Schizosaccharomyces pombe: one gene and its partner. Changing the gene in region 1 together with any one later gene gives a genetic interaction. Each region holds a gene or a part of one and is shown on either strand. Other genes may lie near its edges.

Region 1 (3,838 bases):
ATTCAGTCCACCAGTAGTACACAAAGTCAGCTGCCGCTTCAGTTGGAAGGAATAACAATCAATATGTCGATTCTGTGAATCTTTCCTTAGTAGGATGACTGAATGCTTTACCGGAATTAAAGGGACTGAACATTTTTTAACTGCTGTATTAAATACTACTTTTACATATCGCTGTCAATCTTGCAACAGTTACGCTATACTATTAAGACAATGAAGTTAATGCTTCTCTTAATCCTTATAAGTTTTCATTTTTCTTCATTTATCGTAGGTATTACCCTCTATGCTACATTTCCAATTTAAACTTTACACAATTAACTTGGGTTGTTTTTAATTGTTTTAAAACTTCAAGTGTTGATCTTTATTATGGACAATGGGATGCAATATTAACACCCAGATCCTCTATCACTAACACATACTCTACGCATTCCAGCAGAACCAGGTATAACGCCTGATACTTCAGGGTGGGTGTTTGCTCTTGATTGAGAACAATCATCGATAATAAGCCAAAACATCACATGCTAGATCTCAGTAAGACACGCTTTTACTACCAAAGGTTTGTATAACATTACCCCCCCCAATCACCTCTATAGTCGGCTGCTAACGTGGCTCCACCTCGGGCTCCAACAGCATTGGCTCCAGTGTCACAGTCATATGTGCTTGCCATATTTGTACTATGACATTGTGTGGTGTATCGGTCTCGCTTCTTCAGCAGTGGTAATCCATTAAGCACATCATCTGTCAAGTTGATTATCCATGTAGCATCATCCGCAGATTGAGTTACCAAAGTTCTGAGTAGAACTATCCTGGAAATCTCTCCGTCATTATAAAGTTCATGGAGATCAATCAATAACTCGTGAGTAACGTTATTAGTTGAATTGCTTATAAGCGGATTATCGATATATATATGGTTCATTAATGCAGTCATCTTGCTAGCATTATATAATTCATTTACGATATATCTGAATTCATAGTGCTGTGTAGTGTTATCTGGAGGAAATTGGGCTACCCAGATTACAGCTGGAGCGTCTTCGAGGTCAGTTGGAAAGCAACTGATTAGTGTAACCAACGATAGATAGCAACGTAACTAATAATAGCAATCTCATCGGTAAAATATTAAAAAGAGGATGAAGATAGTTCCAAATTTCTATGATATTGACGTTCTCTTGATCGCTATATATTACTAAGCCTCAGAGCATACAAACACCTACTTACTGCGGAACGAAAATAAGGGTTATAGGATAATCCTTTGTATGATCCCCTGGATTAAGCATAATCTCCTATACAATGTATGTAGGTCAACAATACTACTAAATACTACTACGTTGAATAACACCATACGTCAAGTGTTCTATATTTGCTCTATTAACTTTCCACTCTGAGTTATAGAGATAGACATATTACTAATTATGCAGGATATTTAGAAAAATTTTTAAATGCTATAAATTGAGAAAAACTGAAAAATAAAGAACGAGGTTCAGCAATAAGCTACAGCTACTTTAGTGATTAGGTAACAATTTAATTCATATATAAAAATATCAATAGCAGATGCTACTTGTATTACTGTGTACTGTAATATACTAGGTCACAAGGAAAACACATCGTACTTAAACGTATCGTTAAACAGATACCAAACTGCGTAGCTGTTAAATTGTGAAAAGAAAAAAGTTGTAAGGATTACGAGATGCCAACATCATAATGCTTTTCCTAAATAAATGAGACACCTCAGAACGTAAAACATTCACCATTTTGGTTTTTTTTTTTTAATTTTCTCGTTTATGGCTTAAAATATTTTAGTATATTTTCTTTTTTATTTTCCATAAACCACTCTTTTTAATTTTACTTTGGGGAAAAATACTAGTGAATCAGAAGTCATCAAATTACAGTGCTGTCGTTCTATTCCAATGTCAAATCCAGAAAGCTTGAAAAAACAGGTTGAACCTCCTGGTTACAATGAGTTATTTATGGTGGAAGATGTTTGTAATGTGGACCTAGAGCAGGGACTTGATTTGTGTAAGCCTGAAAAGGTAAACAAACAATCTCAACGATCTCGACAATCCCGACAATCCCTCTTTACCAACACCATTAAGCCTCAAAAAGACAAGATGAATATTAAAACAAATAAAATAAAAGAGTTTTTAAATGACCTTTTTACTGAATTTTCTAAATTCCACAATAGCTATTATCCTGATGGAAGGATTTCTACCCGCAGTAATTTTCGTTGGCCCTTGCTTATTATTTGGTCTATTATCATTGTATTCGCAGTAGACAAAAAGTTCGAAGTCCAAAAGTTTCTTTCAATTTGGATAAATGAAAATCGGTTCTACAGTGAAATTTGGGTGCCTATTGCTATTTACGTTTGTTTGCTTGTTTTAATGTTACTTAGTTTAATTTGTATGTTTCCTTTATAGTGATGCTTTTTTTCTTTTTTTTTGCTAATAATTTAAAATAGTCTTTGCAGAGTTTGCGGTACTTGCTTTACGGGTGACCGGTGTGATTATAGCAGTCTTGGGTATGATTATAGCAGTCTTGGGAATGATTATAGCAGCCCTGGGTGCAACTATAACTGGCCTTTTGTATTTTGGTCATTGGGCTCTTTACAAACTTGTAATATTGTCTTTAGGCTTTAAAATTGTGACACCAGGAGACGTCTGTGTTTCTAACACTCTTCCTACACATAACGGAGAAACAGCATTACATTCAGAAACAACAGTTGGTTCTGATATTGAACAAATAGAACTACAAAATATGCCTACTCCTGTGAAAAAATAATTTTCTTTATCGTTTTCATGATCATATAGAATATAACTATTCTTAACAATGTTCGAATTGACTGTCCTGTCCAAATCATGCACATAAGGTGCGTTCGTTATGAATTTCAATTATGGAACCAAACCAAATTATGGTTTTAATTAAGATATTATCACTTAATGTAACTAATGTTTTTATCTTTCGTTTCATAATTATTCAAATACTAAAAATGACTTTTTTATATATTTTTTTTTTAAAAGCTTAAAATATATTATATTAAATAAAAAATTTCGAATTGAACCAATTTGGACTCCCACTTGTGTTTCAAAAACTCCATTTCATCTACTTTAACCCAAAATTCAGCGTCATATTCACTACAGGAAAGGAGTTTTATTCATTATCTGTTAGTAGAAACAATTTGGTTTCAATTTTTTATGACGAAAATGCTTCGAGTTAATTTAAGGCTTTGTTTGAAATATAATTCGTTTAGTGATTATTCGCTTAGTGATTATAGATATCGTTCTAATTTTCAAATTACAAAATACTAAACAGCTTTATTTGAATAAACAGTAAAAGATTCTAAATCTTTGGACTACTTTTAAATGGTTGACAGACCAGAAAAATTTGAGAAAGAAAGTTTTATAACAAATCGTCTTATTATCTATCTTGCCTAAAAGGAGTGATCAACCTTGAATGACAGAATTTATTTTAGGTCGATAATGGTTGGACGGTGGTGTGGTGTATGCTTGCTAAGCGAAAATATTGCAGGACATAAGTTAGACGAATTGAATTTTCTACGTTATAATCTGTTCTGGCGCTTGCTCGCAATCGTAAAAACAAACTATTGAAATTAAAAAAAAAAAAAAAAGATTGGTAGTGTACATGCTGAATTTCAATCTATGCTTTAAATTAATAATTGCTAAATTCAAAAAAAAACGAATGCTATCTCTTTATCCACTGGTCATTACCAGTTTTTTTTTTTTTTGCTATATTTTTCTTTTAAAAAGCTTCTGTATTCTCGGGATATTACCAACGGCGTTATTAACTCAATCATCGAATGAAGTACGAGTACTAACGGAATAGAACTAGT
Region 2 (4,144 bases), on another chromosome or scaffold:
TTGGATGAAGGAAACGGTCACAATATCGCTTCGGAATGTAGATACACAGCAGTAGCAATGCAATTGTACACAAATTCAGTAAAATATGTAAAGTCCGCCTGGACGGGGGAATGCGAAAATAAGGCAGTGTGTAATCGCCGAAATTGATTAGCAAGCAAGTAATTGTCAGTGAATCCATTAGTCAACGAAAATGCAAGTGGGAAAAAAATAATTGAATGAATGGATCCATTCATTCAATTTATTATTTATCCCTTAAAAGAAAAAACTCTTTTGCTTATGATGTCCAATTGTTTACAAAAGCATCGGTGGAAATAAAAGCGCAAGTGCAGTATAACAAAACATACAAGCATAACCAACCTTACAAGCGCTGTGTGTCTTGCCTTGCAAAACCTCTATTGGGATGTACACCTAAGAAGGACTCTACTTAGGAAGGTGAAGGTTGTGGGGGTTTGGGTTCTTTGGGGGCCACTTCAGGTTATCCTAGATAAAAATATTCGGTGCTCTCTGTTGATGATTTGATGATGATTGCCATAAGTTCAATCAAGCTCCGAAATTCCATACCACTGGATCGCCAAGTGCAGTACATGAGGATAGATAGATTGGAAGCGACGGTCGAGTAGATATCGGATGGCCGAATGGGCAGAGAGTGTTGGTCGATAAAAAAGGTGGAGGAACCTCCAACTAGTACATTTACGAAAGGGTTATGATGGGAATGAGCAAAAGGTGGTCTCTCCTTGCAGGCAAAGAATGAGGAGGAAAAGGAGTAACGAGAGGTTCCTCTGACATTTGTGTGGATATGCACTCATGTGATTACAATTACCCTTTCCTAAACCCGATCTGTGCTTACACTTCGTATTGTGAATGGTTGTGAATTACTTAGGCATACATAGTGCACCATGAGAAGTCAGCGAAACAAGGTTGGCCCAATATGGAGAACAGCCATACGCACGAGTGTGTTGGAGCGTCTTTTCTGCGATTGCTGACCAAATAATGAATTAAGCTTTTTTTAGGATGGCGAAAAATGGGGAAAAGACATAGGATAATGACTGATGTACATCAAGGGAAACTCATCAAATCGCACAAGTTGCCGGATCCTGTGTCTCCCAAATACCCATTTACAAGGCATCCTTGTACATCTTTCTTGTTAGTTGCGCATCATAACGAAACCAGCGGTGCTAGTATACAAGGTATTTGGTTAAACAGTGTTGGCGACGGTGATGCTTGAAATTGAGTCATACATTGATGGTATCCGTATTAGACATGCTAAAAAAAAAAATTTGTAGTAGCGTTGCGTTTATCCCATAGTGTTTGGTTTAGGTTTATATTAGAGAAGCTTGGATTCCGCTTATTCAACAAGCGCTTATTCGAAAGTGCTTAGATCGCATAAGCGCTTATTGAATAAACTGTGTAAACTCAATAGGTAGTTCGGATTGTGCTTGCTAAATAGTACTTGGATTGTTTTTTAGTCAATAATACTTAGATTTTGTTTAAAGACAATAATACCTGGAACGTATACGCACTTATACTTGAACTATATTTACTCAATCACACTGAGTTGTACTTAATAACACTGAGTTTTCCTTTCAAATTACTATTTGTCTTCTCTTTTTTAGTTAATTGATCTACTTTTTCCTCGGCGTTTACATTAAACTCCACGTTAAAACTGAAACGCCTTTTAGGCTCCCTTAGAATACATTCCATTTGAACCCATATATATCTGATTTTTCAATAAACAATCATAATCCCTGTCAAACTAATTCAATCCCTCTTTGCACCTCTGTCTATTAACCTACTTCTAGTCCTGCGCTTGGGTTGACCCTCAACGTATACTTTCCCCGACTACCTCAAGCCCCCTTAGTCAAGTTGTTTCGACAATTTCCAAATATTTCATTCTGGGAATGATCGTTTTTCAAGTTCAAGCACATTATTTTATATAAGATTTGGTGGTCAGCATTTCACAAAGCTCTAACATAACCGTGCATAGTTGGAACCACTGAGGTGGGCCCTTCTAATCCTTTAATCCAAAAAAAGTATTTTCAAGTTGGTTCAAAGAACTGCTTCTCCATATAATCGTTTTTTTCCTCTGTATTATTGTTACAAAAACGTATCTATCGACCGATAGTTTCAAAAAATGCAATTCCGTTCACCCCTTAGGCGTTTTGATGCCTTTCAAAAAACTGTCGAAGATGCTCGCATAAAAACTGCTAGTGGCGGTCTTATAACACTCGTTTCCGGACTTATTGTCATTTTTATTGTTCTCATGGAATGGATCAATTACAGGCGAGTCATCGCAGTCCATGAAATCATCGTCAATCCCTCACATGGCGATCGAATGGAAATCAATTTTAACATCACCTTCCCCCGTATCCCTTGTCAAATACTTACTGTCGATGTCTTGGATGTCAGTGGTGAATTCCAGCGTGACATCCACCATACCGTTTCTAAAACGAGGTTGAGCCCTTCGGGCGAAATTATAAGCGTTGATGATTTGGATATTGGAAATCAACAATCTATTTCTGACGACGGAGCCGCTGAATGTGGTGATTGTTATGGGGCAGCCGACTTTGCTCCTGAAGATACCCCAGGTTGTTGCAATACCTGTGATGCCGTTCGAGATGCGTACGGTAAGGCACACTGGCGAATTGGTGACGTTGATGCCTTTAAACAGTGTAAAGATGAAAACTTTAAGGAGCTTTATGAAGCTCAAAAGGTCGAAGGTTGTAACTTGGCTGGTCAGCTCTCCGTCAATCGAATGGCCGGTAATTTCCACATTGCTCCTGGACGATCTACTCAAAACGGAAATCAGCATGTTCATGATACACGTGACTACATTAATGAACTCGATTTGCATGACATGAGTCACTCCATCCATCATCTTAGTTTCGGCCCTCCTTTAGATGCGTCTGTCCACTATTCCAATCCTTTAGATGGAACAGTGAAAAAGGTAAGCACTGCCGATTATCGCTACGAATATTTTATTAAGTGCGTTTCCTACCAATTCATGCCTTTGTCTAAGAGCACACTTCCCATAGACACAAACAAATATGCTGTCACACAGCATGAACGTTCTATTCGTGGCGGTCGTGAAGAAAAAGTCCCTACCCATGTTAACTTTCATGGCGGAATCCCTGGTGTATGGTTTCAATTTGATATTAGTCCTATGCGTGTTATTGAACGTCAAGTACGTGGCAATACCTTTGGTGGATTTTTGAGTAATGTTTTAGCTTTGCTTGGGGGCTGCGTTACACTTGCTTCGTTTGTTGATAGAGGCTATTATGAGGTTCAAAAGTTAAAGAAAAATTGATCAGATTGTTTATGCACTAAATTTGTTTTGTTTTGTTTTTCGTTCTTTTCTTTTCTTCTGTTTGGTCCTATCGATCAATGTAAATACCATCGGTTTCCATGGCAAGTGCCTGATTTGTAACTTTAGATACTCTATTTCCTATACTATTCCAAATTGATACCACTTGATATTTCATGACTCGCTTATCAATCACAAATTGCTTTTAGCCTCGTTTAGCAAACAACCACTCGCTATATTCACATTGAAGAGCATACGAACCACGCACTTTCTTTCCCTACATCTCAATTCATTTCTTTTAATGTTAAACTCGTCTTCTTTCTAATTAAACATACAAAGATAAAGATCTTTCTATCTGGTGTATTCAATTTTACAAGGACATATAGTATTAGATATATTCGCTTTCCGAACCTAAAGTATTGTCTTGATTCTATAGCATTTTAAATAAAAAGGAAATTAAAATGAATTGAATTGTCTTAAAGTATTAATAAAAATAAGTATTATTTGTAGTACGAGTGATCAAAATTTTTTTAGTTTTTTTTTAGTGCACTCCAAGGAAGATCGTGCCAAGCGGAATGGTATGAGTTGTCATATCCATACACGCTCTTCTACCATAAGCATAACCCCGAGACCGACAATCATACGTCTTAGAAGCCACAAGGAAAACCGATCGTTTCCATTGGAAACCAATTTCCCTTTTCCAAATACATACATTTACAATTAGCGCTCTTTTGTACGGTGTGATCCTATAGAAACGGTTTCGAAAAATAGCAAACCACAATTTGCTGCTTTGGATAAATCACTTTTAGAAAAGCTTTCGATTTACGTGTGAAAACGGTTTTA

The links.
Region 2: mutations in SPOM_SPBC1348.01 (region 1) and erv46 together harm fitness more than expected from each alone (negative genetic interaction), as found in Schizosaccharomyces pombe (one large-scale study listed by BioGRID).

Annotation. Positions count from the first base shown.
Region 1 is NC_003423.3:3,550-7,387, forward strand, and holds SPOM_SPBC1348.01 (uncharacterized protein), read left to right. Parts: upstream 1-1,901; coding exon 1,902-2,391; intron 2,392-2,449; coding exon 2,450-2,769; 3' UTR 2,770-3,280; downstream 3,281-3,838.
Region 2 is NC_003424.3:211,194-215,337, reverse strand, and holds erv46 (COPII-coated vesicle-associated protein Erv46), read left to right. Parts: upstream 1-1,814; 5' UTR 1,815-2,131; coding exon 2,132-3,304; 3' UTR 3,305-3,624; downstream 3,625-4,144.